Linked DNA regions of Tamandua tetradactyla. The protein of the gene in region 1 interacts with the protein of each later gene in a pairwise test. Links are inferred from orthologs where the notes say so. Each region holds a gene or a part of one and is shown on either strand. Other genes may lie near its edges.

Region 1 (7,957 bases):
TTCCTAGATATAAAACTCCAGGCGCCAAGCACCAGGCACGCCACAAAGTGGCCCTGAATCCAGAGATTTGTGGCAGGCAAGTTTTGTGTTGGATGATGCCTTCTGTGTCTTCAGTCCATCCCCCACCTCCTCCCTGTTCAGACCAGGGTCCAGAGAGGGACCATGACCCGCTGCAGGCAACACTTCCAAAAACACACATTCTTTGAGAGGCCTAATTTCTGGGAAACAGAAAGACTCGCCACCAGTACTTGAATCTTTTAATTTGGGAAGGACTTGGGAGCTCAGCTTCCTCCCCTCTGTCGTCCTTCCCACCCTCCACGGCACCCCCTCCTTGGGTGGAGCTCCATCAGGAGCCAGGTCCCAGAGCACCAGGCCCCACAGATGCGCCTGGAGACTTCTCTGGCCAGGCGTCATCTCCATGGGCCCGGCTGGGGAGGTGGTAGGCAGAGAGTCTCGCAAAACCGAAGATGTGTCTGGGTTCCTGTGTCCCCTTAAGACTGGCTGGAACTGGGGAGCCCTGGGGGTCACTGCTGGTCGCCTGCGAAGATGGAGCCAGGCAGGAGAAGGAAGCTCAGAATGGGGTAGCTGGGGCTGGGGCAGGGGCACAAGTGCAGACACTCACCCTGGGTGGCCCGGGGCCCCAGCTCAGTCTGGTAGATCTTGAAGGCATCGTAGGCAAAGACGGAGACCAGGATGATGCCAAAAACCTGTGGGGGTCGAAGCAGGGATTGCACAACCAAGGGCATCAGGCCATTGGATTTGGGAAGAGGGAGGCGGGTGACCTGGGGCAAGGCGTGAGCCACAATCCTGGGCACTGGCTTTGACTCGAGGGGCGGGAGGACCCAGAAAGGTGCATCTGCAGCCATCAGCCAGGGACCCTGGGGGCCCAGAGGGCCCTGCAGGACCAGACTCACAAAAGCAGCGATGGCAGCTCCGTCCCGGGAGGTCACAGCGGCAAAGGAGACCACCAGGAAGATGACGATGGCACTGATGCAGCGAAGAAAGTCCTGGGGGAGATAAAAAAAGTGGGGGGTGCAGGGCCAAAGGGAAGGTCAGAGGTCAGGGGCATCCAACCTGAGGTTTTTCCAGGCTAGTCAGCAGTGCTGCCAGTCCTTACAAGGGGATACCCTTGCACACACAAAACGAAGCTCTTTCCAAAGGGCGCTCCCCCTACTACCAGGGAACAGATGCAGATGAATCCAGAGCTACCCAGGGCAGGAGGCCAGGGGCCTGCAGGGGTAGGGGGGTGCAGCCGATCCCAAATGGCGACTGGAGCACCCCAGCCAGAACCTGTAGATGGCCAGGTTCTTGGGAGAGTGGGGCTGGACTTTGGTGAGTGGGAGAACAGACAAGGGTGTGCAATCCCCTCGTTGTCCGTGACCCATGGAGCCACGAAACCGGCATGGGTCAGTTCTCAGCTTTTGATGGCAGGGCACAGCAGGGGGCAGAGAAAAGCTGAGGCAGGCGGGGCTGGGCCCACCCTCACTGGGCCTAGGGAGAGGGGAGTCTGGGAGAGGAAAAGAAACCTCTGTGTTTAAAGGAGAAGGGAGAAACTAGGACGGGGTGGGGGGGGCAGGTGTCCTCACCAGACAGGGCCAGTTAAGCCGATCGAAGCGCTGGTAGTACTGGGTGGCGTACAGGAAGAGGAAGACGAGGGTGACGAAGAACTCGAGCAGGGCGGCGGCCATGTAGGCAGAGATGGAGGCCGTGAAGCAAATAAAGATGATGAAGGTCAGGGCCTGCAGGACCGAGCATGTGGTGCTTGCCAGGAAGGGGACACGAGCCCACAGGCCAGGGGCTCCCCCTGGCTGGCACCATTTGTCTTTGGAGAGGAAAGCAAGAGCTCTGGCAGGTTCCACCACCCCACCCTCTCCCCTTCCAGTGACAGGAGCTACCAGGCCGGGGCATTTGCCCATTAAACGCAGCCCCAGCGGTATGGCCGAGCTGCACTACTCCAGGGGGCACCATTCAAAGGGCAATGCAGACAGCGGTGGCCCCCTGGAGCACAGAGGACTGTCTGAACACTTGCCTCTGCAGTTGTGCCCGTGAAGCCCTGGGCCCCAGGAGGCATGCCCTGCCCCCTAACACTTTCCCCGCTCTCAGATGCCTAAAACTTCAACAAGGAGCAAAGTCCTCAATTCCACGCCAAGAGGCGAGGCTCAGAAGGCAGACGCACACGGTGACCCAGGGGCCTGCAGCTCTGGCAGCACAGGATGGCAAATGTGCACAGAAATTAAGTGTACACTTAGTGACCAGGGGAAGACCCTATCCCGAAATAGATTTTCACGGGGAGTAGACAACAGATAAAAGTGGAGCCACAGGAAGTCTGCCCTTTTTGATAGTTCTTAGACATGCCAAGAAGTGGCCATCTTAGAGGCCAAGGAAAGGCAGGCAGGCATTCCAACTCCCTGTCCCAGCCCTGGGACTTAGGTACCCCTGAGGTCCCCAAGAGTGTCCTTCTGTCTAACTTCAATTCTTCCTGCTGCAACTGTCTCTAGATGGAGAGCGGCCAGAAGGCAGGGTGGGAGATGGGGGTGGGGGAGATGGCATCCAGAAAGCCTGGGAAAGGAGGCTGCTGGGAAGGCCCCGCGGCCAGGGCTGGGCCAGGGAGCCAGGGATGGGAGAGAGGGAGGCACCCGATTCGGGGAGGCAGCAGTTACCAGCTCAGTTTCCAGCAGGATGCCTCTGAGGGAAGAGAGGAAGGTCTTGTCCACGGCGAAACCCTGGAGTCCCGCAGCTGCCCCCTCCTCGGGGGGCCGGTTCCGAGCGCTGAGCATCTCCGGGGGGGCCCACTGAGCACAGCCCCCCTCTGCCACAGCCCAGAAAGGGAAATGGAAACCTGGCAGGATGGGTTAGCAGCCAGGAGCAGGGAGGATGCGAGGAACCTGAAAGTGAAGCAAGGAGGCCAGTCTGCGGGGCCCCTGGAGAAGCCGGGGCAGGCTGGTTCCGATGGGCCCTCCCCCAGCTGCTTGGACTCAGAGTGCCCCCCACTGGTGCCTGCACCGGCCCCCTGTGAAGTGCACAGGGCGGGTGGGGGTGAGAGAGGAGGAGAGCTGGGGTGTGATTAGCCCCTCCCCTTACTCCCAGCTGACCCAGCCCGGAGAAGGGGAGCAGGGAGGAGGAAGGGGCAGCGGAGGAAGTAGGCAGGCAAACCAGGGGGTGCTGGGAGGTAAGCTGAGAAACAGAGTCAGGACTAGGAGCCCTTCAAGGACCTAAGCCTGAAGAAACTTGTGTCCCCCGCCTCTGCCTTTAACCCTCTTCCTTGGCCCCTCCTTTCTCCCTTCTCCTTGTAGGGAGGCTGGGAGCTGGAGCCTGGCCCAGGCTGCACCCCGCCTGGACCGAGCTGTAGCAGCCAGGACCAGAGGACAAAGGCGGATTGTTGGGGGGACAACGGGGTGCTGTGTGCCTGCTGCAGTGCCTCAATGGGCCTCTGTATCTCTGGCAGGCCGGAAAGGCAGCCTGATCCCCCACCCTGGTGTTCGGGAGTAGGTCAGGGAACCAGAGAGCGGCAGGGATAGGAGGGCACAGCGGAAACTGTGGCAGGCAGAGTGGCAGTAGGTGAGGGGTGGCGGCGGGGGTGGGGAGGAGGGGAGAGTCCAAGCTAGGCGACCCCTGGGTGTTCAGGTATCAGGGATGCCAAAGATAAATGAGGCCACTTTTAAATATGACTTCTTTATTTGGATACATCTCTCCATGCTCAACAACAGCCTCCTCCTCAGAATATTCCATGTCAAAAGATATGTAACTACACCCTGATGCACACAAAATGGATATTTGAGGAATGAATTCATGAATGAGTGAATGAACAAATGAACAATAAACGGGGGGCTCTCCACTGGCAGAGAAGAAAACGTCAAGAGAGTGCCCGTGCTGTGCAGAGGCAGCTGGGAATAAGAGGAGAGGAGGAAGCAGGCGTGGTGGCCTCATGAGCAGAGCTTTGAAGCCCTTTCCCCACACCAGCTTTCAGCAACCACTCCCTTCGCTTCACCCTGTATTTCCCGTCCATTCCAAAAAGTGCAAAAGTGCAGGTCCCCCCCCCCCCAAAGCCCCCCATCCTGTCCCAGGATCCTGCTGCTCCAGGTCGGTCATGCTTTGGAGAGGCCGAGCACTTGGGCGTCCTGGCCCACAACGACTGATGGGTTATGCGACCCACAGCTGGCCCAGCCCCAGTTTTCCCGGCGAGGGAGCAGCGGCGGGCTGGCCGGCTAGGCCATCACACGTGGCCGCACACACACGCAGGCCAGGGAGACGCGGTAGACTCTGCGCTCCAGGCAGTAGCCCACGGGGGCACCCTGGTGGCCAGGACACCGCCGCCGGTAGAAGACGGTCTGGTTGTGGTAGAGCAGCTCCGAGTTGCCCAGGGGGTCCATGTCAGAGCCTGTCTGTAGGCTGACGCAGTGTGGGCACAGGCAGCGGGCGTGGTACAGGTCCTGGGGCAGCCGGTTCAAGTCCCTGTCCAACCTGTGGGGGCAGCACGTGTCAGGCCCTGGAGGGGAGCTGGTCAGGCAGACAGGGAGGGAGGGGGACACAACAGCAGTGGGGCAAGGGGGGTGCCCCACGTGAGTGTAGGCGTACACGTGTTAGACGAAGGAAGTGCTGTGGTGGGCGGCCTGGCTTCTAGCCCCAGCTCTGACCCTAACCGGCTGTGTGACTTTGAGCCAGTGACTTGGAACCCTTCCTCTCTGGATTTTCTTTTCCCAACTGTGAATAAGGATAGGGGACTAGAGAACGGTTTTCTAACTGGTCCAAGGGCCATTAGGAAGGCTGGAGAAGGTGAGGAGTCTCTGCACAATCTGGCATATATACTGGGCTTTAGCATGAGATTCTCTTTTTGTTATTGTTATTACATTTTTATGTGCTTTTTAATTGTAAAAGTAAAAACTGCCCTTAAATCTAAGTATAAAGTAATGGCTAATGGTCCTGCCCCACCAGTCTCACTCCCCAGAGGGAGCCACTGTCAACCCTTCTTGCAACCTTACCAGACACTGCCCATGCATGTATCATAAGCACGTGTGCAAGTGTATGGTAAGACCTATTTACTTATTTTGACAAGTACTTATTTACTTACTTAGCAAAAAAAAAAAAAAAAAAGAGGTTTACGAACTACTGCAAAGTGTGCCAAAGGTCTGGGACTCCAGCAGTCCAACAGGAAATAGACCCTAAATATAAGGACCCTTCCCCATACAAACAAGCCCTGGAAAATTGGGGCTCAGCTAGCACAATATTTCCAAAAGTAGGTTCCCTAATAAGTATTCTGCAAGAAAATGGATCTGTGGCCAAACGAGTCTGGGAAGTACTGAATTAAATGGGTTCTTTTCTGCACACTTCTTGCAGCCTTTAATGTGCTGTGGGCTAGAGCAGCCTTTCCCAAGATTCCTTGACATTGTCGCTTTTTTTTCCAGAGGAGCAGCTTGTGGGACAAGCATGGCATAGAGCACACTTTGGGAAAGGCCAGCTGGGTGATTCTCAGGGGTTCACAGACTCCCGCTAGAGATGGCCACCTGGCGACAGCCTCCCCTAAGCGGCTGCCCCTCCACTGAATTTGGCTCAGGATCCAGCTAGCCTTCTGAGACTGCTCTAGAACATAATGACCTTGAACCTCCATGCTAAATCTAGTCCTGATTAAAGCTGACCCCCGTCCCCCTCTACCCACACCGAATAGATGGATGGAGATCCATCTCCAAAGCCAAAGCTAAGCCAGAACTAGAATTACGGGAAGTGGGAACATGGACATCTGATGAGGACACAAAACAGAAGAATAAATAGGTCTGTGATCCTGAAGGCCCTAATTTTTAATATTTTTCTTCACTGTCCCTATTTCAGAGCCTCCTAATATTTTCCATATCATGGCGCAAAGAGCAAAGGATAATAGTTTTGTAGCACACTGAATGAAAAAATAAGACCACTCATGATCAAAGATAACCAGCCTGAGATTCCAGCCATCCAGCTGCCCCCAAAGGTTAAAGGTTTCAATAGCTTAGTATACTTGTAACTCTCTTCCCTGCATGGCCCAGAGCTTTTTTATCGGGATACCGTGTACCTGTATCATACCATCATTCCCTGAAACTTTCACTAGAAAAACATGGCCACTGGAAGGATAAGAAAAGGAGAGAATCAGCTTTCCCTGGAATAAGTACAGACTTTTACATGCATTGTGGCATTTGATCTGCACATCAGCCTATGGGATGTTCCCCCATTCTACAGATGAATAAAAATTTGAATAATTGGCCCAAGATCACCCAGTAAGAGTCAGAGCTAGGATTCAAACCCCAGCCATGTGGGACTCCTGAAACATCATGGCCTGCCTGAGATTAAAAGGGGAAGAAAGTAGACTGGGCTTGGGTGGAACTCCCAGTTCCCCTCGCTCACACCCTGACCGGCACACACGTTAGGAGGGAGACACAACACACTCACTCATATCTCCAGGGGGAGATGGCCCTGCTGTGGAGGGGTCCATCCTCGCTGGCCCGGCAGGACTCTGGAGGATGGATGAGGGGGCGGGTGAGGCTGGCAGCCTCTGGGGGAGACGGCACAGTATTCCACCTGAGCCACTCCTCAGAGGGGTCCTGCCCTTTGCCGGAGCAGCAGCTGGGCCATTGGGTACCTTCCTTTTGGAGCCTCCAATTATGGGTGTAAGTTCCCATGACCATCACCAGGAATGCAACCACCTGTAGGTAAAGGCCAGAGAGAGAACCGCTCTCACCTAATCTGGGACCCCTTCCACCCAAGCCACTCCCCCAGCTGTTCCCTGAGATCCTGGTTCATAGCTCCATCTGGCCCCCAGCCCCAAACCAGGGAGCCTGGCCTGCTCAGCCCTCAGCAGCATCTCTGCTCCTTTCCTGCTCAGCACCATGCTCTCCCAACCCTCTGACCTCTCACCTGGTACATGCTGGATGCTGCTCGCTCAGCCACCAGGGAGTGCACTGATAGTCAAGGTCTTGTGGAAATGGGCTGGCTGGAGTATTTAACAGTCCTGGTTTTATTTTGAACAAACCTGTTTTGTTTATTCAAATTTATTTCCACTACCTTTTGGAGGGAGTGACCAGAGATTTAAAAACTTGAAACTGTTTTCCAAAGTTGCTTAAAATACTATACTAATGGAAGTTATGAGAGTCATTACAAAGTCTGGTAGCCTATTGGGTCAACTTTGTTCTTTGTACTTTTCCGGGCATGGGGTCAAAGCAATAGTGTTCCATGTCTTTGTGAAGTGGCATTGTGGGAATTTCCCTGATTGGCTTGGTATCCCAAAATAAGAAATGTCATCTTGCCTCTCTTCAAGTGGCCTCATTTCCATGACTTCTGCTGCTTCCACCCAGAGCCTTGTGTCCACCATTCCCTCCTCTCTTCTCAGGCCTCCTCCTGGTCACCCACTTAGTGAACACTTTCCTTCCCCCTTGTCTCCTGTGACCCCCCCATCTCTTTTGTTCCCTGACCCCTTCCCCATCTTCCATGACCCCAAGTCCTAGAAGCCCCATCATTTATGACCTTTACCCCATTGTCCATTAGCCACCCCCCAACTTCCCCTTGCCCTGTTTAGTGACCACCTCCATTCCTGAGCTTTGGCCCCTTCCCCTGGGATAGAGATACAGGTCTAACCCTAAAAGATTTCCAGGAAGTCTCTGACTCCATCAGTTTGTTTGCAGGATCTGTTGGAAGAAGTTGTGCGTGACTATCCTCATTGCACAAATGAGAAGGTGATGCAAGGAAGAGGAAGGACACCTAAGACGCATTAGGAGTCCCAGCTCCAAGGAACTGCCTGCCCCCACTCCCATTCACAGGGCCTTGGGGCAAGGACGAAGGCAAGGTTTGCTGCTGCTCTCCACCAGCCATGGTTGGCCAGGAAGGAGTATATGTGCTCTGGAATGGCTCGGAGCTGGACCTGACATCAAAGACATAACTCTCCTAGGGTCCACTCAGCCTGGGGGACACTATGCTGAGAGCAGAGCCTATTTCCTGG
Region 2 (8,037 bases), on another chromosome or scaffold:
TGCTTACTAGAAAATTTTTAATGCTTTTTGAAAGAAAAATATATACATTACTGAACTCCAATGACCGCACAAATATAAAATGTGGATGACATGGTTAAACACTGAGACAAGTAGGATAAAGTTTTGGGTTGCCACAAGCTCAGAATAATCAATAGTGTGATGGTGCATGATTTAGTGACAGAAAAATTAAACTAGGTCTGGGCCCCAGGACAAGTCACTTAAACTCACTGTAAAATAAAGTTAAGAAGAACACATAATTCAAAAGATTGTTTTGAGGGTAAGATTATCTCTGTGAGAATTTTTTGCTGATGCATATTTTTAAAAGCTTGATCTGGCTACTGTGTGGATGATGGATTTGACAGGTATTAGGAATAGGAATAATAGCTGGGAGACCCACCAGAAAGCTCTTGAGGTAACCTGGACCAACAATGCCACCAAGTAGACCCCCAGGGCCTACTTGAGGAGTGGCCACATTTGGGGTATATTCTGGAGAACCAGCAGGGCTGGATAATGGGCTAGGTGAACAGGGCAAGGGAAATGGTGGTTCTGTTTATTGACATATGTAAGGGATGAGGGGGTGGGAGAGAAAAAAGAGTACTATTTTGGACACTGTAAATGGTGAGCACCACAGTGGCAGCACCCTTCAGCTGAGAAAGCTCACTAACAGTTCAACTGTTTAGCCAGGTACAGGGGAGGAGAGATTTGTGAAGCCCAGCCCCCACCCTGCTCAAGTCACAACGTATTCCCAAACAAGCAAAACCAGGACATATGTCTCAGTGTACCAACTGCTGTAAGAGTGTCTGTCAGGCTGTAATGGGCTACAAATAACAGACAACTCTGAAGCATTCTGGCTTAAACCATAAAGACAGTCATCATCTCCTACCACAAGGAATCCAGCCTTCTAGGATCCTCTATGCTTTGGCCTCCTCTGGGTTCTGGCCTTGTCATCCAACTGGGAGCAAGAAGGCTACAGTGTTTCCCGCTCCCTGCCAGAACCAGCCACATGTGGAGTCAGAAAGAGGTCCATCGCTTCCAGTGTTTCCTTCTTTAAAGTGAGGAATTCTTTTCTGGAAGTTTCCTCAAACAGATCTCCTCTTACCAATTATTGGCCCCAGAGGAGTCATATACTCAACCCTAAACAAATGCCCTGGCAAGGACCAGGGGATTCCAGGACCAGCGGAATTGTATTAGACCTGTCAGGATTTATTCCTGGAGCTGGGAAAAGGGCAGCCAGACCAGGCCAGACCAGGCCTTTTGTTTTGATGAACAAAATCAGGGCCCTGCCTGCAGGGAGATGAGAAAATTGCTGCTAATTTGGAGCTAAAATGTCTGCCATAGAGCAGAATGAATGGCCTGCTGCGGGGGTGGAGGAACCCAGAAGCCCTTTGATTTCAAGAGCACCTTTTTTAAGAGTTAAAGATTCTGTACAAAGAACCCTTCTTTCTTTAACTGTAATGACAAAAACAAAAATGTTTAAAAGAGAAAATCTCTCTCCTCCTCCAAGGAGATTCACAGCCTGCCGAAATCACAATTGTTTTCAACTTCCTTTGTCCTAATCTCTTTATCCCCTGCCTTCTCCCATCCATGGAGCCGTTCCTCCCTGGTTCATTTTATGTTGTTCACAAGCATTTTTACAGGTACCTGGCTCCATCTCTGCAACTCTGAGCCTGCTCCATCTAGCGGATATGTCACAATTAATGCTACCATATCTACATACTGGACATTTGTGATCATTCTACTCTTTCATTGTATTTGTCACAGGCATGGCTGGGCATCTTTCTTTTTCTTTAATTGTGGTACTATATATATATATATATATATATATATATATAAAATTTGCCTTTTTAATCATTTTCAGGTATACAAGTCAGTGGCACTAATAACATTTACAATGTTGTGCTACCATTACCAGCATCCATTACCAAAACTTTTCCATCACCCCAAGCAGAAACCCTATACCCATTAAGCAGTAATCCCGCGTTCATTCCTCCCTCTAGCCGCTGGTAACCCCTAATCTACTTTTTTTCTTTATATATTTCATGTAAGTGGAATCATACACTTTTTTGTCCTTCTGTGCCTGGCTTATTTCACTTAGCATAATATTTTCAGGGTTCATCCATATTATAGCATATATCAGAACTTCATTCCTTTTTTCTGGCTAAATAATATTCCATGGTATGGATAGACCACATTATGTTTAACCATTTATTTGTTGATGGACACCTGTGTTGTTTCTGCCTTTTTGTTGTTGTGATTAATGCTGCTAAGAACACAGATATAAGAGTATTTGTCTGAGTTCCTGCTTTCAGTTTTTTGGGGGTATATCCTAGGAGTGAAATTGTCAGGTCATATAGTAATTCTATGTTTAACTTTCTGTGGAAAGTCTCTTTTGAAGAGACTTTCTTATACCTCTAGGGAAATTCCCTATCAGTCCTGCTTCCCCAACATCAAAGTTGACAATATCTCTCTCAGCCTCCTCTGATACAAGAACACTTACATGATCAAGGCTTCCACAATCAGGCACATCCACGTGAGACTTTGAATCTGTCTGGCTTTGGGGCAGGGTGGAGGGAGGTCACTTTCTTGATGCAGAAGTGGTTTCAGTGCCGCGAGCAGTAGCAGACAAGTCTAAGTCCTGGCATTTAGTATCTGGAGACAGTGGTAGCAGCAGCAGTTTTCTTTTCAGGTCAGTTCAGCAGCTATTTATCCAGCCCTCCCCATCCCTGCCCAGAACTTTTTATTTATTCATTTATTTATTTATTTATTTATTTATTTATTTAATCACTTGCCCAGTACTCTTTAACAAATCCCTCTTCTGCTTAAACCAGCCAATATAAATTCTGTTACCTGTAAATTAAGATTTCCGACTGATCCATTCACTGTTATAAAAGATGTTGTAGTTAACAGCTCTATAATATTTTTTTCTTCCTTTGGACTCTTAGCCCTGTGCTTCTGAAACTTCATTCAAAGGCACCCCCTTCAAAAATTTTTGCCACCCATAATATTATTTACCGAATACTTTTTAAATTGACTGATCTTTTGAAACTCAGCATTTACTTGTGCCAGGTTTTTCCTTTTTTTTAAAACAATACACACACACAAACACCATTAAAAGAGAATCCATTAGTTCACATACCACCCCCCAAAAAATTCATAACCCACTAGTGATCACAAAAATCTTAGGATAATTTCCAAGAGTAGAGTGACAGAGGTAAAGGGTAGGAACAAAGAAAACAGTTTTACACTGTACCAGCCCTTTCTAAGAAAAGGTGATAGTTTGGAGGACCAGGAGGAAAGCGGTGTTGGCTGGTCTCTTGGTTTATCTGAACCATCCATAAAATTATAGTTCTGTGATAGTACTGTACATTGGTTTAGTGCTATGTTTTGGAGTTTTGCTGCATTAGGTTCCTTAACCTCCCTGATCCTCAGTTTTCTCACCTGTAAAATGGGAGAAAGAACAGATCCTACTATACAGGGTAGCACTGGAAGCAGTAATTGTGTACCAATACGAAGCATCTGCACAACACCTGATACCTAAAAAGCTGTAGTTCATAGTTGTCGAAACTCCTCTGTGCTTAATAAAGGGAGGGTGTGTGTGTTATAAATATAGTTTCCCTGATAGTGCCCAGTCCCTCTGAATCATAATCTCCAGGTAAGGAAGCCAGTCAACATAGTCACAGGATCTAGTGAGTTTCAGAAACTTAATCGGGTTTAAGTAGCTGCTATTATTGTCTTGGAGTAATGTTGGGAAGCTGCGATGAAACGATGGATGTGAAAGTTAAAAGTTATTACTCATTCATTCAGTCAACGCATTTATTGAGCACTCATTGCATGCCCCGCCCCGCGTTAGGTGATGGGGATAAAGCCTAGAACAAGATTCAGTCTGCCGTTAAACGCCCCCCTAGGTTGGTCCTTCACCCTCATTTATAAAATTGAGGCGGGAGTCGGGAGGTGGCGGTAGTGGTGGTGGCGGGGCGACGATCGGAGAGTTTCTCCCTGGGCTGCTGATGGTTTACAGGAATGTCTTGGGGACTGTGACCTGTAAAGTCGGGCAGTAAAGAGTCCAGGAAGTTGTGAGCCAGGGGGCAGCTATTTGTGGGGCAGGGACTATTCGACCAGGAGAACAGAGGATTCCGTCCCTGATCTCGGCCCGTCTCATTTCCTCTCAGGTGGATACTGTTATTTCCATCTAACGGATAAGGTTTAGCGGACAGAGGGCTTACACTTGATCCCACGCCCAAAAGGCGCCCCGGGCCTGGCCCTACCTCCACCTGCGGCATGGAGGCCGCCCGGCCTCCCGCGAGCCGCGCGCAGCAAGTCGGACTCCAGGGGATTCGCGGCCTCTCTCCGCCGGCCCGGGACGTTCCTCAACAGTCCGCGCTAGGGCCGTCTTTGCCTTTCGGAGGCCAGGACGCTGCCGACCCCGCGGGCCCTTACCTAACCCAGACTCAAAGTGCCCTCCCGACCCGCCGGCCTACAAACTACAATGCCCACGATGCTTCGGGGCCCTGGTGCATTGTGGGAGGGCCCTGGTGCCTCATGGGAGGGCCCCAGAGCGCACCAGAGAAAACTCCGTCGTCCCGCAGGCGGCGAGGCCCATGTGTATTGTGCAGACACCAGCGACCAGCGCCTTCTTAGAAGTCCTCCGTCCCGCGCCCGGAAGTTGGCGGAAACGACCATAGAAACTGGTAGCTAGAGGCGCCCAGCCTCGCCCTGCCGGCCCCTATTCTTGCCGGAAATAGCCTCCAACCCCAAGTGTCCTTCTTTTTGGCACTAGCGGGCTTCCGGTCCGGTGCCCGAGGCGCAAGCACGACCACAATGGCTGCTACGACCCTGCTGCGCGCGACGCCCCGCTTCAGTGGTGAGAGAGCAGGAAAGGCGGTGGTGGCTCAGGATGGGGGTGGGGGAGAGGCATGTGGGTGGTGTCGGGGTGGCCGGGCTCGAACCCGCGCTCTGACGCCAAGCCTCTGCCCCGGCAGGTCTCGGTGCCGGCACCACCTCAGTGCTGCAGGTTTTGTTCCGGCCGCCGAAGGCCCCGGCGCTGCCCGTCTTGTGCCGGGGCCTGGCTGTGGAGGCCAAAAAGAGCTATGTGCGCGACAAGCCCCATGTGAACGTGGGCACCATCGGCCATGTGGACCACGGCAAGACCACGCTGACTGCGGCCATCACCAAGAGTGAGCGGGCTTGGGGTGTGGCAGCTCCCGATCTATTGGCGGGACCTGGAGCCCAGAGTGGCTGCTGGAGGTGTTTAGTGTGACCCCAGAAGCCAGGTCTCCGGCGGGCGGTAGAATGGAGGATCCAGGAGACAGAGGTCCCCTGCTCACTTAGTACTTTGCGATGCATTTGGGGGACGCGCTCGCCGTGGGAGTACTCTGTAAGAGGAAGCTTTACCTTGGCTGACCCCTGGGGCCTTTTAACGTTCCTGTCTGATCCAAAGTTACCTCTGCTGCAGGAGTTCGAGACTTGAGGGAGGCGGAGAGAATCTTTCTTCCAGACTATTATTTGTTTAGGTGGGAGGGGCCTAGGGGCGTGGTCTGAGCCCTGCTTCCAGTTCTAGAATTTGAGCTGAGAGGGGGTTTCTTTCCCCCTCCGTTAGTTCTGGCGGAGGGAGGTGGGGCCAAGTTTAAGAAGTATGAGGAAATTGACAATGCACCGGAGGAGCGAGCTCGCGGGATCACAATCAACGCGGCTCACGTGGAGTATAGTACCGCAGCTCGCCACTATGCCCACACAGACTGCCCAGGTCACGCAGATTATGTCAAGGTGAGAGTTGCTGCACACGGCAGGGCCAGAACTGCTTCTTGTCAGGATAAAAGTTAGGGTTCTGTGGGAGGAGGTTGATAGTGGATGTGTGAGTTTGTGGCCGTGGGTAGTGGGTGGTGAGATGGCTGGGTCAGATGGATATGGAGCTGAGAAAGTCACTTTACTAGGCTGAGGGTTCCATTTCTTCCGCCCAGAATATGATCACAGGCACTGCCCCCCTTGATGGTTGCATCCTGGTGGTGGCAGCCAATGACGGTCCCATGCCCCAGACCCGAGAGCATTTATTACTGGCAAAACAGGTATGCAGAGCTCATATGGGGGTGGAATGAGTAGGGGTTGGGCCATTCCAGACATTTGCCCTATCTTTGTCCCTGTCTCCAGATTGGGGTAGAGCACGTTGTGGTGTATGTGAACAAGGCAGATGCTGTCCAGGACTCTGAGATGGTGGAACTCGTTGAGCTGGAGATCCGGGAACTGCTCACTGAGTTTGGCTACAAAGGGGAGGAGACCCCAGTCATCATAGGCTCTGCCCTCTGTGCGCTTGAGGTGAGGGTGGGGACAGCAGGGATTGCTGGTGGAGGATGGGGCTGCATGGGCAGGGGCTCTGCCCCGAGTCTGGGCAGACTTGTGCTAAGTAAAAGCAGAATGGAGGTTTCAAGAGTCCTTCACCTTCATCTCCCAGCAACGTGACCCTGAGCTAGGGCTGAAGTCGGTACAGAAGCTGCTGGATGCTGTGGACACCTACATTCCAGTGCCCACCCGGGACCTGGAGAAGCCTTTCTTGCTGCCTATAGAATCGGTTTACTCTATCCCTGGTGAGGACTGGGCTCGTTCACCACTCCCTCTCCAAGAGGCAGGCCCAGGGTCCCTGACATCCGTTCCTGTTCCCTCCCAGGCCGGGGCACAGTGGTGACAGGTACGCTGGAACGTGGCATTTTGAAAAAAGGGGATGAATGTGAGTTCCTGGGACATAACAAGAACATTCGCACTGTGGTGACAGGTATGGGAATGAAACCTCAGCACCCAGGGACTGGCTCCATGCTGACCTCTCCCCTGGCACATCCCTTGTGCTCTTCCTCTGCCCCAAACCCTCCTCCTTTATTCTTTCTCCTCCCTCCTTTCTCTCTCCTCCTAGGCATTGAGATGTTCCACAAGAGCCTGGAGAGGGCAGAGGCAGGGGATAACCTTGGGGCCTTGGTCCGAGGCTTGAAGCGGGAGGACCTGAGGCGTGGCCTAGTTATGGCCAAGCCAGGTTCCATCCAGCCACACCAGAAGGTGGAGGCACAGGTGAGGGCTCTAGGGGATGGTGAGCAGGGCTGAGCCAAACAGCCCCCTGCAGAGACAGTGCTTCCAGCCAGGCCCAGCTCTACCTCACCCTGCTTTCTTATCCAGGTTTACATTCTCAGCAAGGAGGAGGGTGGTCGCCACAAGCCCTTTGTGTCTCACTTCATTCCTGTCATGTTCTCCCTGACTTGGGACATGGCCTGTCGTGTCATCCTGCCCCCAGAGAAGGTATGCAGGTGTAGAGAGATGTGAAGGAGTGGAAGGGGTCCTCTTCCAGTCAGCTCTACCTTGTTTACAGGGAGGCCAAAGATGCCAAGATGTCTTGATTTCCTCGGGTGGAGGTGTATGGGTCTGGACCGTGTACCCTGGGCTGAAGTAGGCAAGCTTACTCTACCAGTATTTATCCCTAGGAAAATTAAAAGTTCCTGTTATTTATTATGTGGGACTCAGAAGTCCTGCAACTTCTACATAGCCCATAATTTAAACCAAAAAAAAAAAATTTTTTTTTCCAAAATGTTTTTCCAAAAACATAACCTTGGGAATACTGATCACTGGTCCTTTTTATGCTTTCCTGCCCTTGCATCTGCCCAACATCACCTGCTGCATTGTCCCATGAAACTGAACCTCTATAGTAGGCAGAAGCAGTTAAGGTACCCCAAAAGCCATATTCATTCCTGTCTCTTTTTCCTTCAGGAGCTTGCCATGCCTGGGGAGGACCTGAAGCTCACCCTCATCTTGCGGCAGCCAATGATCTTAGAAAAGGGCCAGCGTTTCACCCTCCGAGATGGCAACCGGACCATTGGCACCGGCCTTGTCACCGACACGCCAGCCATGACTGAGGAGGACAAGGAACTCAAGTGGAGTTGAGTCCATGGACTTATGCTCGGGTTTTGCTGCATTGGGGCTGTGCTGGCCAGTCTTCAGCTGCTTCAGGCATTCTAGGGCACAAGCTGAAGCTCTTCTTGTCAACTGAAAAAAGAGACAAACACT
Region 3 (7,581 bases), on another chromosome or scaffold:
GAAAGTTATTAAAATGGAAATTTTTATGTTGTATTTATGTTACCACCGTTAAAAAAAAGGAGGGAAGAAAAGAAAAGATAAAGCTGGAAGGACAAAGACCAGATTATGTCACACTTAGAAATCTGAACTATTTACGGCTGAGAGATTGCAAACAGAGTTGAGAGGTTATTCTTATGCATTAAATAGATATCACCTGGTTAGCTAAGGTGTAATGGAGAGGCTGGAGGGAAGTGCCTGAAACTGGAGCTGTGCTCTAGTGGCCATGTTTCTTGAAGAAATTGTATGATGATATGGCTGTTGCAGTGTGACTGTTTGGTTGTGAGAGCCTTGTGTCTGATGCTCCTTTTGTCTACCTTACTGAAAGACAAGTAAAACATATGGATTAAAAATAAATAACTAATAAGGGGAACAAATGGTAAAATAAATTTAGTAGATTGAAATGCTGGTGAGAGGGGTAAGTGGTATGGTATGTATGATTTTTTTGTTTTCTTTTTATTGCTTCTTCTGAATTGATGCAGATGTTCTAAGAAATGATCATGATGATGAATATACAACTATGTGATGATAGTGTGTAATTGATTACATAACAAAATGGAATGATCATATGATAATGTTTATGTTTGTATGTGGTTATGTTTCATAAAAAAGAAAAAAATTGATGTAAAAAAAAGAAATCTGGATTTTTATCTGTAGGCAATGGAGTGGGGTGGGGGAGGGGCACTGAGGGATTTTAAGCAGGCAAGTGCATTTTAGAGCATCATGCCAGCCCATTTGGAGAACGAATGCAAGATTACCTGTAATGGTCCAGGTGAATGAGGAGGGCAGAAATTTGAACAGCAGTGGGACAGAGAATAAGGAGCAGGTGTTACATATTAAGGAAATAAAAACTACAGCTGTTATTTCCAAATACCAGTCCATCAGAATCATTTAGGGAGCTCTTTTTTAATGATTTTTATTATTAACTATTGTACAAATACAATATATATAAAATATACACAGGGTATAAAGATTGATGATACACTAACATTCCCTGATAAAGTTTAAAAACAAACAAAACTAAACAATACATCATTTATAGAAATACACATACGCTAAAATCCATTGTGAGAACTGAACAACATTCTTACTTGTGAGGGAGACAGGAGAGAGGGCTAGGGAAAAAGCTCACAAGAACAGATGCAAAGGTTATGGCAATGTTTCCATTCTTAGGTAGGGAAATAGGTTTGTGTGCATTCATTTTATGTCTTATATTCCAGACATTGTATAATTTTTAGAAAAAGTATATGAACTAGAACCGTTAGCAAAGAGGAAGTAGTCAATGATGTCATATGCCACAAGGAGGTCAGTTAAAGTGAGACCCTAAGCCAACTGAGATGGGTGTGAAGGCTACTGCAGCTGGTTGGAGGGGAATTAATTGGAAGGGAAGAGGTAGAGCCAGGATAGGCTATTCTTTTGAAGAGTGACTGACAGTGAGAGCTTAAGCTGTAACTAAGGGGAGGTTTCCCTTTAGACACCATTTATAAAAGTAAGAAGTACAATGTTTAAGAAAAATAGGGTGAAGGAAAGAAAAGAGATGGAGAAATATAGAAACTTAAAATGTCTTCAGGATCCCTCAGAGATGACTACTTTGAACAGTGTAGTGGATTTGATGGGGTTTTCTGTTTTGAGTTCACTCCTTTGTTTCAAGATGGGAGATGTTTTGGACAGTTTTGGGCTGTAGGGAAGAATAGAAACGCTGGTGGGAGACCTGTGAGGGGAAGCCAAGCAGAAGGAAGTAATAGATTGGAAGAAGGGCAGAGGACTAATCTCCAAAACAAGGGACCACTTTTTCCTGAAAAGGATTGAGAGAGTTCAGGGTATTCAGGGGTGGGAAACTGAGGAAGTTCATGCAGGAAAAGTTCACTTTTCTTTGAGGAGTAGAAGTCAGGGACAATCACTGAGGGGGTTTAATGAGGTAGAGAGCTTGAAGAGAAGGAAGGGGGACTGGAATGGTACTATGAACACACTTGGACAAGAAAAATTTCTCAGTGGAAGAGTCTGAATGAGGTAGATTATGCCTATTTAAACTGCCAACGATCACTACAATCATGTGGGCCCAGCAGCCCCATGTGTGGCAGCAAGAGCAGATGAATGGATTAATCCCAGAAAGGGCATTAGTTAGGGTGATAACGGTGCTGGCAGGAAAAGAGTCTGAGCTGAAGAAGGTGAGTCAGGATTGACTGGGGGCCAAGGGAAGCATGGGTAGAGGTCAGGGGTGAGAAAGGTCTAAGGGCAAAAAGGTGGGTGAATGGCAGACAGAAATTGGAAGGATGGGAGGATGTACTCCCTGCGGGACTCAGGAGTTTGAGTTCAACGAAGGCCAATTCCCTTCACTGATACGGACCAAGGTAGACGATAAGGACAGAGGAAGGGTGAAGTAAAGAGGTAAAGGAAATGAGATCTGGGAACTCACCTCTGATGATGGTCATATCGGTGTCTCTGAGGGTCGTACTCACCGCCGACGTCCACCACGATGTCACACGAAGCCAATATCTTGGCGTCCCGAGTCCGCACGATCTCTGCATCCTACGGAATACATGGGAGGTGAGCAGGCAGGGAATTAATATATTACAGGGGAGCCAGAGCGGGTGGGAGGGGTGCTACCAGAGGGATCCAGTTAGAACGGGCTGGAACACGTAGAGTTAAAGAGAACGCAGTCCATCCCGGAAGCACGCGGGTAGGTGCAGGGCTAATTTTCACGGACCATACCCGGTACTCGGGAAGGAGGCGAAGCAGCGCGCACGCTAGTGCCTCGTCGCAATGGAAGGTGCCGTTATGCGTCCCGATTCGGGGCGGTGCCATGAGGTCGCCGCGGGGTCGTTTGGGGGCCGGGACAGACGCCAGGCTCCTTATGCAGAGTCGAGCCTGGAAAGGGGACAGCCACGAAAGTGACTGGCGGAGATGGCACAGGAAGCTATGACCCATATGGCTCCCGCGGCGGGGAGGCGGAACTTCAACCCGGAAAGGGAAGAGCCCGCTTGGCCCCACTTCCGCTTGCCGGCCGTCCCCATGGCAACAGAGCCCTCACAGGACTACATTGCTAAGCAGGGCAAGATTTCTCAGTTCCTCCTAGGGATCCCGTGTGGGGCCTCCAAAGTGGGAACCGCTTCACAGCTTATCACGCACTGGGCAGGAGCCCACTCTCCCGGACACCTCCAACCCCAACACAGTACCTGATTAATGCAAGAAAAGACCAACACTGTGCCCAAATGACATTTATTAGCATTAAACACAAGGCCCTTATCTTCCCCACACCAAAAAGCCACTCCTACGAAGTCCAGGCCCCTGAAGCAGGGTGCCCTCTAACCCCATTTCTGCAACAAGCTCAGGCCTTGGCAGTAGCCTGTGTTGCTCCCAGGGCTGTGAGCTGCTGAATCTTTTGGCTCATCATCTCCATGACAGCTGGGGAAGAAAAAGGAAGATTCAGACACTGGCCAGTGCTAAAGGAAGGAGAGGACCTAGAGTTAAGAAAAGCAAAGGGAGACAACCAGCTACAGTTTGTTAATACAATTTTTAACCAGTGATAGGGGGACAGACACACTAGGTACAAACTTATAGCCTACAATGTGTCAATGTGCTAAAATGAACAAATTATGGTATTAAATGAGCCAAACTTAACTGCAAGATATAACGTGGAAAAGATTTTTGCGTTTAGAACAGGGGTTCTCAATCCTGGTTGTGTAACTGGGGTGCTTTTAAAAAACACTGATGCCTAAGGAACAAGGTCCCAGAGATTGATTTAGTTGGTGTGGAGCAGGCCCAGGTGATTCTAACATGCAGCTAAGGTAGCAATCACTAGTACTTACTTAGTGCTATGTTTCTTTCCTGTATACTCATTTACATTATCTTATCCCCTACTCCATCTCCATTAAATAAGACCTCTGTAAGAGCGGACATGATTTCCATCCTAGGCACCCAACCCAGAAATCTACAGATAGTACACAAAAGCTAGAGAATAACACACCAAAACACCAAAGGAAGAGAAATAAAGATATGGCTTTAACCCAGTCAAGATTAAACCCTATGGGTTCACACTGCAATCCATGTTCTTAATCATGGAGGTAGAAAGGGACAAAACATGGCCTACGTCAAGCTTACCTTGCTTCATAGCATGCTTCTCCTGCAGAGCTGGCTGGATTTTCTCCATCTGCTTGGTGAGGAAGTCTATCTTCCTCTTGAAGAAGTCTTTTGCATCCTCAGCTGTCTGCACAGGTCAGAGGTAAATGAGAGGTAAGAGGAGACACCATATATCACAGCTTAGATCTTCTCCTAAGCTCCCTTTTCTTGCTCACAAGGGCACCCATTTGCTTCTAGAAACTCACCTTCTCTACATAGTAGCCAGTTCCCACATCGATGAGCACATGTTCCACATCATGTAGCTTACCAGGGACGTACATCTGAGAAGCAAGGATTAAGGGAAAAACTATCCCAGTATGAACCACAATTCCAGTAAGTCAGTCTGCTTGGCCTTTGAAGGCACACCTTCTCTAGAAAGCTTCAAGGCAAAGGGACTGAATATAACCTTTTCTGAATAATCAGAAGCCCTTAGAACTATACTTAAAAACTCCAATGGGGAGAGGCAGAGAAAAAGTGGTTCCTTGTGGAGAGAATGTCACATGCTAGCACACTCTCTTGCCCTGACCCCATCTCCCACCCTACAAGCAATTCTCAAATTCTTCCCATTAGCTCTTCCAGAAAGATTAGATACAATGATGTTTTCCTACTTTTCTAGAGTAGTAAAGGTGAAAACCCAGACTCACTTCCCCTTAATACCTCCAACCCTGTACTACCTAGTTCCTAATGAATTTAATGATTATTTAACCTTTCCCTACTGTACTGCTATTCCTTTGTTTCTCTTTTAGCCTGTCAGTTCTCAGACTACCTATTGCCATAAATTGTTCATACAACAAAAACACTTAATAGGTGGACACAATCCAGGCTTCTCAGAGATGGCAATTTAGGAAAAAAAGCCACAATTAAGCTGAAATTGAAGATTAAGAAACAAAGCCAATAGTGGCAGAATTCTTGCCTGCCATGTTGGAGACCTGGGTTCAATTCCTGGTGCCTCTCCATGCGGAAAAAAAAAAAAAGAAAAAGAAAAAGGAACAGAGCCAACCACTGTTTCTATACCCTATTCTTCTACTGCTATGTCGTCTATCCAGATTATTAGCAAAAGTGTAAACTACCAGTTTTGTCCCTATATTAGATTAATATCCTCAAACAGCAAAGGAAAATAATGCAGCTCAACTTTACACACCCCTTGGTAATTTACAAGGCAGTAGCTGGATGGTAGGCAGCCCCAGATTAAAAAAGAGAGCTGGAAGTTTTCAGAATCATGAATGAAAGGGACTCGGAAGTAATCAAAATTACCTCCTCTTTGTGGAGGGGGAAGGGGTGAATGGGAGAGGTCAGGGCAGCAGTTCCTGTGGAAAGGATACAGAACTGGTCAATGGGACAAGTAATTCTTTCCCTGTGAAAGGAATTAAGACAAACACCTGGGGAAGGTTGGCAGCGCCAACATTAAAACGTTACAGGGAACTCCAACATAGTACAGCACCCAGTATGAAAAGGACGAAACAGGGGCAACAGAAACAGAGGAAAGTTCTGTACATTTCAACTCTAGGTATGGAACATGCAAAGGGCTCTTACAATACGCAATGGATTGTTTTCGCGCCTCGGGTAAGGAAAACTGGATGAAGCGGCGGGAAGAGAGGGGAAACTGGCTAACCACACTCCCTATGTTGCGTGTGGCCCTCGCACGCCTACTTCATACCCTCGTTGCTCTTGTTCAGCACGTTCAGACAGTCCTTGGCTTCCACATACTTGGTCTGTACCACCTTGAGCTGGGCAATGGACGTGGACAGGAACTCCACTTCCTGCAGAGAACAGGAAAGATGGTCAACGGGTTGGAGCGTCAGGGGAGTCTGGCCGAAGAGGGGACAGGACCGGGGATGCGGTGGCGGTTTCGCCTTGGAAGGGAGGTTTCCCAAACAGGGGAGGAATGGCGGCGAGGAGTCCGCCTGGGCAGGGGAGCTGTGAGGCGGGAAAAGGGTGTTTCAGGGGTCCGTCGCCACCTGGTCCAGCTGATTCTTGAGCATTTCTAGCTGCGGCAGGCTCAACTCCGTGATGTTAACTGACTGCGCCATATTGAGAAGGAGGGCTAATGAAAGGGAAGTCGGCTCGGCGCTTTACGCTCTAGCCATCCTCTGCGCATCTCGATGGTAGCGCCAGGAGGCCTCGCTGCGCCGGATATCTCTATGTTCCTCCGTCCCAGGAAGGAGGGGCTGGAAATTCCCGAGATTCGCCTTTGATTCGAGAAGGTAAGAGCGCATCCCTTTCACAAAGCATCCCAAGCATAGCACAGTAAAGTTGTAGCAAGCAAGATTTCTGCCGTCTGTCCTCAAGGAACTTAAAAATCTTAAAGATAAGACAAGTACCCGGGACATTACCACAAGCAGCGTAAGCTGCTCCATGTGAGTGGTAAAAATCCACGTGAGTGGCAACTGAGAGGCCAGGAGGAAGCCTGTGAAGTTCTGTGGGAGGGGGCATAGCACTGTGAAAACGGTCCTTTGGTCAAATGAAGATGAAGAGTGTCCAGAGGTGGAGAGAACAGTAAGAAGGTACCATTACAACTAACAAGTTCAGCACAAAATGTATTTACCATATACTAGATGTGAGGAATACACTAGCGTAAGATATAATTTGTACTTCACAGGAGCTTACAATCTAGTTGAGAAGACAAATGAATAAATAAATAAATAAAATACACAGGGAGCAGAATCCCACAGAATTTGCTGCTTAAGTCCATGGCACTGACAAGTGTGTAGCAGCTGTACGTGAAAGAGGAACAGCAGCCACTGACATCTACTTGGAAGGGGGGCAAGATAACAGAGGCACCAAGCTAGTGTCACACCCAGGATACCTGAGGAGAAAGACAAGACAGACGTGATGGCACTTGGCCAAGTTGCTCACAATGGGTCCCTACTTTTCCCTGGGCCTCTGTTCCCACTAAGAGCATTTTATTACCCCTCTCTCCTTCAGCTTTGTCTGCTGAGACCCAGCCAGGCCCAGCTCTGTCCTGTGGTTTTGCCTTTTATCCCCAGTGCTCTCAGATTTGAACTCCTGAAAGCTGTTCCCATGCACTTACAGTACCATATGGTGGGGGCCGGGGGGGATTAGTGGGGAGGAAGCAGGAAGTCCACAAATGTTATCAAATGAGCTACACAAACAGTATTTAGGTGACATATCTTTATTAAGGTTAAGTTAAAAGGAAATATTTCATATAAAACACTGAAATCACTTAAAAATATTTATTCTAAGGATAAAATCTAAGTTGGGGGGTAACAGAGTCACTTGGCTTCTACCAGATATACAATAGCTCCAAGGGGTCACCGCAGGGAGACAGGTAAGCCATAGGCCACGGGAGCAGCTCCAATAAGATACTTAAGACGGGGAGCCTGGCGGGCCTGGTTGACATAGTAGAGGAGGGGGGCCCCTGGGCCTGCTCCAAGCCAGCCTTGCAGCAGAGCCTCTGTATAGCGG
Region 4 (7,634 bases), on another chromosome or scaffold:
ACCTATTCTGAGGTGGATTTTTCTTCAGAGGCAGGGCCTGCAGGGGCACCAGCAAGTTGAGCGTTCTTGAGATAAGTATCAGCCACTATCTACAGCAGATTCTAAGATACCCTTAGGTGGCAATTTGAGTGAAAAACACTGAGCTCCTTAGTGACCCTTTCTATACATGCACATGCTAAAATTACACCCAGGTATGAGGAATAAAGAGTTTTCCAGGGTCACCTCCAGTTTTAAACACTCTGTGGTCCTCTATTCTTAAACCAAAAGGTCAAGGGCTCAAGAACCTACAGCCCCACAATCAACATGCTTGCAGAGAGACCAATGGATACCACTCAGATTCAGGTTCACAGAGTGCTTGGACTAGCCACACATCTCAAGCAATGTGCTGGTTCTACCTCCGTATCCGGAGGCTCCACCTTCCCACCAGGTCCAACTCCAGAAGGCCCCCCTCCCTCCAGCTCCTTAACACTGGCTGTGCCAAGGTCTTACCCGTCATTGAGCAGGAATGCCGAACTATTTCCAGACACCACTGTCAAATCAAGACAACTCTCTACTCAAATATCCCTGTCTAATCCTGCACACAGCTCTCATTTCAACTGACAAAGAAAATGACTCAGCGTCCATGCTTTTGCTGGAAAATTATCCAGCCAAGTTTGGAGCTTCCCTATAATAGACTTCCCTAAACTTATCTTTGCGAAAGGAGAAGTGACTTCCCTGCCCTGATCTTTTCTGTATACAACAAAGCATAACCAGAAGACCCCCTACCTGATCAAGAAATAGTGACAGGAATATCCTGGCACATCCATAGGATCCATTAACAACAAGAAAGGGAAACTCAGTCAGGGGCTTGGGGTGTTTCTCCTTGCATAAGCCCTATACAATAATCGCCCCTTTTTCATCTTTTCTATATCCCCATCAGCATGAGACCTAGAAGTTTGGGGGATATATTCCAAGTTATATAGAAGGCACAATCTGGCCTCAAAAGCAAAGCATCTTTCTCTGCACAAGAAGAAATGGCACACTGTCTTTATGACATGGCTTCTTCAGTCAACCATAAAAGAGCTCCACAAATTATACCCGTGGCCATGCTACACCATGACATTTCTGAGTCTGCAGCCGCAGATGGTGCACACAAATACAACACACACGCACATATGAAATGCAGCCACTCACTCACTCCCTGAAGACATAGGTCAGACCCCCTCCCACACGACAAGCCACAAGAGGAATCTGAGCATAAAGTAAGGGTGAGTGAAGCATCAGCTTGGAAAGCCACTTATGGATAATGGATAACTGAGTTGGCTTTTCTACCAGTGTTTAAACCAATAAAGGCATCTGCTCACTACTTAAAACGTGTTTCATATATATAGCCCCAAAAGTTCTGAAAAGTCCTCAAGGGCAGAAACCACCATCTTCTACACTCCCAACACAGCTATCGCTGCCCTCATCCAGCAGGCACAGTAAATGCCCATGGTTTCTACCTCCTATCTCTATGCTGGCAGGTTTCACCTCTGCTACCCAGGTGCAGAGGGAGGATCTCCTTTAAAGCCCAATCTACACAACTTCTACTGCTGGCTTAGGGCAGGGGACACAACATTATCTTCTGCTAAAGCCTCTCCAACTACTCATGGACATATTCAAAAGATCCTTACATCGTGGTTCTCAGCTAAGTGTGACTTTGCCCTCTATGGGACATGTAGTGATGTCTGTAATTGTCATGACTAGGGGAGAAGGAATATTCTTAGCATCTGGTGGCAGGAGGCCTGGGATGCTGCTACACCCCCTACAATGGACAGGGAAGTCCCCCAAAACAAAGAGTTATCCCAGGCCAAAATATCAGTAGTTCCAAGGTTGAGAAACCTGTCATACAGGACTGGCTCTGAGGGAGGTAAACAGACCACCAGGTTCACTTTTTCTTTGAGTTGCCAGGGCTCAGGCCAACAGTTATAACAAGCACGCACTATCTGCATTATTTGCAATGCAGAACAAAACTCCCCCAAGCCATCATCTGAGTCTTAAAGATGTTGCCCCTCTGTGTCAGCAGCTCCTCTTTTGTCTCCTCCAAGAGAGACAGTTTCCCAACAGCCCTCCTACCAGAATGACCCACCCATCCACAACATGCCACCTGACAGGCTGGCAGCAATGCATGCTCAAGTCCTTTAGCAAGGAGGTAGGCCTAACATGCCCATCTCCGCCTTGCTCTGCCATGTAAACCAAATGAGCACAGAAAAGTTTTTCAATAGGCTGCAGGCTTGACCCAGGCTGGGAAGCTGCACTCAAGCCTCTCAACCTTTAGGACATTTATCCCTCTGAACCAAATGGAGAGTCTCAACATCCAGACCTGCCACTGCAGCGTTCCCCCGTCCCCAAAGCAGAAGGGGCCGTACCCTCTGCAGCGAATAGGGCCAAAGCCAGGGAAAGGCCCAGTTCTGGAGATTAAGCCCAAACCACTCACAAGATCCCCAGGGCTTGGAGAAGTCGAAGGAAGGACCAAAGCAGAAAAAAAACGGGAGAAATGACCAAGACAGACTCTCTTAACCAAGATCCCCCACGCTAACATCCAACAGCTGGCTTTGGCCCCAAGTGAATCAAAGTTTCAGGCACAAATCTGCATCCGAGACACAAAGCTACAAGTGCAAGGGAATCTGGGGTCCAGGAGTAAAAAGAAACAGTATCATGAGAAAGCCTAGCAAAAAAAGTTGTTTTGGCGACCAAGAGGCACGGGCATGGGAGAGCCGGCCACCGAAGTTGTCCTGCACGTTCCAAGGACCTAGGGTTCCTGCACGCGACCCTTGTACCCTCCCCGAGGCGGGGTCGGCCGGGCTGAGGTGGGCGCAGGTACGAGAGGCAGCCACAGAGCCCCACCCTGCATCCTGAGGCGAGCCCACCGCGCCCCGTCCCCGGAGCCCGCCGTAGTGGAAATTCGCGAAGGGGAAGTCGCGCTGTCACTGCAGGAGGAGGCAAGAGGGGCCAGGCAGCTGAAGCGCCCAGCTCCGGCCACAGCCGGACGGCTCCTCGGACATGCGGCGGGCCCTAGGCGGCAGCCTTACCTGGCTGCAGGATCCGGAGATCCCGCGTCCCTCTCGGGTTCGCCGCAGCGCGGGCAGCTAGCACGAGGGAGGGATCTGTTTACCACCTAGCCAGAGTCCGGACCACCCCTAGCAGGGCAGGCTCTGCCCAGCGGGCCGCTCCCATTGGCTGCGCCGCTGTGGCCGACCGAATGCTGCGCCACGCCAGGGAGCGTGCTCAGTCCGTGCACCCGGCCTGCAGCCAATCGGAACCAGGGGCGGAACTAGAGGAGCCAATGAGAGGCTGCCCTGGCATGCAGGTCCCCTCGGGCACCTTCCAGAGCCTTGTGCTGGGGTTGGAGAAAGCCAGGCCCGGCTGGGCGGGTCGATGGAGGGTTCGGTGCGCGTGCGCACGCGCGGCGGTCTGTGCCGGGTCCCCTTAGGCGCGTTATCCGTCAATCTACTCGCTGGTGCTGGCCCGGCTGGACCTGTGAACAGGTGGTGAAGGGAGGAGACGGGCCTGGGTGGATGTGGAGAGCGTCGCGGCTTTGAGGACGAGGCGAAGGCTGCTCGGTGCCCCGCCTTATGCAACGAGTTTGCATAAGAAACTTCGAGTTTCCTTAGAAAGCACTCGAGTTCCCACAGAAAGCAGAGCCCCGGCAGGGTCAGAGGTAAAGGACCCCAGTCGTTCGTCCTTGCCCTCCAGGAGTCTTGTGGGGCGTGGGGTTCGGTGACCGAGCAGTGACTTCCTCGGAGGCGGCCCCTGCGGCGCCGGAGCGGCGCTGTGAGGCGCGGACCATCGCGGAGATCACCTGACGGTTCCTCTCCGAGGGTTTCCAAGTGCGAGTCTGCAGCTCTGCCCACCGTGGTTAATAGTTCTGGTGGAAAAGAGAAGAATAAGAACAATGTAGTGAATTTCTCATAAAAATGAACATTCAAGCTAAAGGATCTTTCTCTGTTCAGAGATATTTTTGGTGTTAGCATTTCTTTAACTTTCTTTGAAAGAGTGGCTCGTTCATTTTAATACAATTACTGGGAAAGTCATTTACATTGGCGCAGACATTGGATGGGGGCATCTGCCCCTTCAGCTCGCGCTGACCACCTGCCCTGGGTTCCCCGCTCCTCACCGCAGAGTGTCCGGCCGTGCCCCGTGAAGGACAGAACTCAGCGTGGGATGTGGGTGACCACAGCTCCATGTCGAGGCTCCGTGGGCTGCCCCCGGAGGACAGCGGGGCGCTCGGCTGCTCTGCCTGGGTGTCCGCCTACGGCCGGGGCCTCTCTGCAAAGACCGCTCCGCTGCCACCACTACCCACAGCCCAAATCCTAACTCCGCCTCCCCCATCCTCCCTGCACTAAATAATTCACTAAAAAAAAAAAAAAAAGTAAATTATGAGGAAAAATTAAGTTAAAATGTTGACGTTTCAAGTAATTTCCCCCAAACAGTACAGGGCTAAAAACTAGGGAGAGACCAGCTGGCTCCCTTTTCCCACACCGCAGGGGAGCACCAAGCCTCAAGGGTTGGGCCTTCCAAGCGTGTCCGTTGCGCCCTCTGGGACCACCGGTTCCCCCTCTGTTGCCTGCGTTCCTGCAGGTCCTCCAGCCTAGTGCCTCCCACCTGTCCGTGGCATAATGGAGTCTCCAGTCCATCCCTCCCTGTATCTCAGACTTCAGCGGGGTGAGGGTGAGGGTGAGGGTGAGGTTTTCGCGGGCTCCCGTTTCTGCTGATGGAAGTGGGGAGAGGCTATGGCACTCGAATTCCATGGGCAGCGAATCGGCTGCTTCCATGCGAGCTCAGCCCTGCTCTACCAGCAATGCCAGGGCATTCTCTCCTGAAGCACCTGAAGACAAACACAACCCACCACCACACACTAGATTTTCTTCCAGAACAGCAGTCTGCTCCTTTTACCCAAGGTATGGACAGATGAGAAAAAAAAAAAGGATAAAAAAATTAATAATTGGGGGAACAAAGGGTAAAATAAGTCAAGTAGATGGAAATACTAGTGGTCAATGAGAGGGAGGGGTAAGATGTGTTATATGTATGAGTTCTTTCTTTTTTTCTGGGGTGATGCAAATGTTCTAAAAAATGATCATGGTGATGAAGACACAACTATGTGATGATATAGTGAGTCAGTGATTCTATACTATGTATGGAATGTGTGTGTGAAGATTTCTCAATTAAAAAAAAAAAAGAATCAGCAGTCTAGTTTAAAGAGAAATGCACCCCACCTAGTCAATGCAAAGAAAGCATCTTCATCAGGTTAATATGATTTTGAACTTACTCCTTCTGAAAAATGACCTCAGCTTTATTGTACTAAAAATACATTTCTCTCTTTCCTGACCTGGTTTTTATTGCAAAGATTCCCCCATTACTACAAATTAAAGATTCCTACAAATTATATTTTGGGTGTGATAATGGCTTTGGAGCTATGTTTTTTTTGAGAGTCCTTATGTTTTAGAGATACATACTGAATTATTTCCAGGTGTATGGGATTTGCTTTCAAATATTACAGGGCTGGGGGAGAATGAATGGGCCATGAGTTGATAATTGTGGAAGAGAATGATGGGTATATTGGGATTCATTCTCTTATTCTGTTTCTTTATATATGTTAACAATTCTCCATAATAAAAATAAAAATAAAACATACCTGCCAAACAAAAAAATTCCCAATGGAAGACAATGCTAGTAATACAGGCAGGGTAAATAATAAATAACAGTCATTTCTACTCTTCTTGGTATGAAAATTTTGTCAGCCTCACTACAAGGTAAGAGCAAGATTGGATCTAGCTAAAGCTGACAAGAAAACAGCCAGAAAATTCAAAGTGATCAAGAAGACATTTGAAATACGGATTTCATTTACTATGTACCTCACTCCGAATATCTATTTGCCTTGAGATTTTAATGTTCCTATAATGCCATCATAATTTTAAAAAATTTTAGAATTTAAATTTCTAAAAATTTGCATTTGTGTATCTTTACTAATGGGCATAATATTTTAATATAGTATTATACTTTATACACACATTCACACAGAAATGGTATGCATGTGTGTAGACGCATACATACATACACAGTCCCCCAATAACCAGAGACACCTGTGCTTGGCACAGTTAGATAAGAAGCATGATACTCCAGTAATTCCCTTCTGTCTCTTCATTAATAGCACAGACAGAGGAGGCACTTACCAATTTTTACTCCGCTACGGAATCATTCCCATCAGCCTACCGAATTATTATAATATCTCTCAACCTTCACCCCCATCCCCATTTCTCTGCTCCCCTTTCCAGCAAAACGCTGGAAAATTATATTTTATGTATGTTATTTTTCAAGTCTATCTCATGGCTGGAGAGCAGGAGAAAAGATTATAGCAAGTTAAAACACAAACTCAACATTCTTACTGAGATTCAGCCATTTTTCTTCGATAACTGCTCCCCAATTGCTGCAAATCTTTGATTAGTTTCTAGAGTTCCATTTCTGCCAATTTTTTCATTGCTTTTGTGGATGAAAAGAATTAAGCAGTCCTTACTCTGCCATTTTTGCTGGCATCCTCTTATTCTGTCCCTCTAAAAACAGGTTTTTTTTTACTCAGCATCTCTGGAACATTATCCTTTCCTGATTCTCTTTCTAAGAATAAGCCATTTCTTCTCCATTTCATTTGCTGGGTCCTCATCATTTTCCTTATCTCTAAATGTTGGAGGACCTCAGGACCTACTCATTGTACCTCTTCTCTGTCTGCACTCACTCCCTTAGTGAGCTCATCCACCTTCTAGAAGCTGATAACTCCCAAATTTCTACTTCCGGCACTAACCTCTCCTAAGAATTCCAGATTCACATATCCAGCTGCCCATTAGCGTCTCCACTAGGATTCCCAACACGTGTCTCAAAGAGAAAACTGTCCAAAACTGACCCCTTGATTGCCCACCCAAACCCTCATTCCTACTCCAGAGCTCCCTGTCTTCAATAAGTGGCTTCTTCCATTGCTCAGTCCTGAAACCTAGAGACCTCCTTGACTCCTTTGTTTCTCTCATAACTCACCTGAGAGCCATGAGCATATCCTTCTACTTTATTTACAGACTACCTGAATCGACCCAGTTTTACCTCCATGATCGCCGTCAGCCTATCTCAAGTCAACCTCATCTTTCACCAGAATTATCTCAGTAGTCAGCTAACTGGTCTGCCACTTCCACCCATCTTTCAGGAAGCCCTTTTTGTTTGTTTTAAAACAAAATTCAGATCACATCATTTCTAAATGCAGAATCCTTTAATGGCTTCTCCTCTCAGAATAAAATCCAAAATTCTTTCGTTGGTCTGCAAGATCCAAGCCCCAGGGAACTTTCAGATAATCATTTCAACAGCTCTCTCCCTTTCTCACATTAATGCCAAAAAAATAGGCCTCCCTGCCATGTCTTCTAACATGCCAAAGACAGTCCCTTCTTAGAGACTTTGTACTCCCTCTTCCCTCTGTCTGAAATGCTTTTCTGTCATCCACAAGGCCCACTCCCATACTTGACATAGGTCTCTGACAAAGCGTCACATCATAGATTAGAGTTCTTCCCTGACCATCTTACTGAAATGTGACCCATCTTGTTTCCTTATTGAAGGAAACCCACTTTTCTTTTTTGCCTTAT

Evidence for each region.
Region 2: the proteins of CMTM5 (region 1) and TUFM interact in binary tests that used the Homo sapiens proteins (3 or more experiments, as listed by UniProt). The two-hybrid records come from large-scale screens. The link is inferred for Tamandua tetradactyla from reciprocal best matches to the Homo sapiens genes CMTM5 and TUFM.
Region 3: the proteins of CMTM5 (region 1) and MYG1 interact in binary tests that used the Homo sapiens proteins (3 or more experiments, as listed by UniProt). The two-hybrid records come from large-scale screens. The link is inferred for Tamandua tetradactyla from reciprocal best matches to the Homo sapiens genes CMTM5 and MYG1.
Region 4: the proteins of CMTM5 (region 1) and COQ8A interact in binary tests that used the Homo sapiens proteins (3 or more experiments, as listed by UniProt). The two-hybrid records come from large-scale screens. The link is inferred for Tamandua tetradactyla from reciprocal best matches to the Homo sapiens genes CMTM5 and COQ8A.

Annotation. Positions count from the first base shown.
Region 1 is NC_135340.1:31,515,022-31,522,978, forward strand, and holds CMTM5 (CKLF-like MARVEL transmembrane domain-containing protein 5), read right to left. Parts: upstream 3,184-7,957; 5' UTR 3,154-3,183; intron 2,886-3,153; 5' UTR 2,778-2,885; coding exon 2,661-2,777; intron 1,740-2,660; coding exon 1,587-1,739; intron 1,008-1,586; coding exon 915-1,007; intron 708-914; coding exon 623-707; intron 539-622; coding exon 525-538; 3' UTR 243-524; downstream 1-242.
Region 2 is NC_135349.1:25,025,702-25,033,738, reverse strand, and holds the start of TUFM (elongation factor Tu, mitochondrial), read left to right. Parts: upstream 1-4,551; 5' UTR 4,552-4,818; coding exon 4,819-4,861; intron 4,862-4,979; coding exon 4,980-5,174; intron 5,175-5,596; coding exon 5,597-5,763; intron 5,764-5,957; coding exon 5,958-6,062; intron 6,063-6,144; coding exon 6,145-6,309; intron 6,310-6,445; coding exon 6,446-6,578; intron 6,579-6,658; coding exon 6,659-6,763; intron 6,764-6,898; coding exon 6,899-7,050; intron 7,051-7,155; coding exon 7,156-7,275; intron 7,276-7,740; coding exon 7,741-7,914; 3' UTR 7,915-8,037. UniProt on the Homo sapiens protein: GTP hydrolase that promotes the GTP-dependent binding of aminoacyl-tRNA to the A-site of ribosomes during protein biosynthesis. Also plays a role in the regulation of autophagy and innate immunity.
Region 3 is NC_135333.1:114,659,016-114,666,596, reverse strand, and holds the start of MYG1 (MYG1 exonuclease), read right to left. Parts: upstream 3,129-7,581; 5' UTR 2,965-3,128; coding exon 2,749-2,964; intron 2,566-2,748; coding exon 2,453-2,565; intron 1-2,452. Other genes in the region: PFDN5 (prefoldin subunit 5), read right to left, coding at 3,365-3,441, 4,138-4,243, 4,362-4,436, 5,478-5,509, 5,813-5,915, 6,114-6,185; ESPL1 (separin), read right to left, coding at 7,428-7,581. UniProt on the Homo sapiens protein: 3'-5' RNA exonuclease which cleaves in situ on specific transcripts in both nucleus and mitochondrion. Involved in regulating spatially segregated organellar RNA processing, acts as a coordinator of nucleo-mitochondrial crosstalk.
Region 4 is NC_135333.1:19,604,064-19,611,697, forward strand, and holds the start of COQ8A (atypical kinase COQ8A, mitochondrial), read right to left. Parts: upstream 3,243-7,634; 5' UTR 3,051-3,242; intron 1-3,050. UniProt on the Homo sapiens protein: Atypical kinase involved in the biosynthesis of coenzyme Q, also named ubiquinone, an essential lipid-soluble electron transporter for aerobic cellular respiration.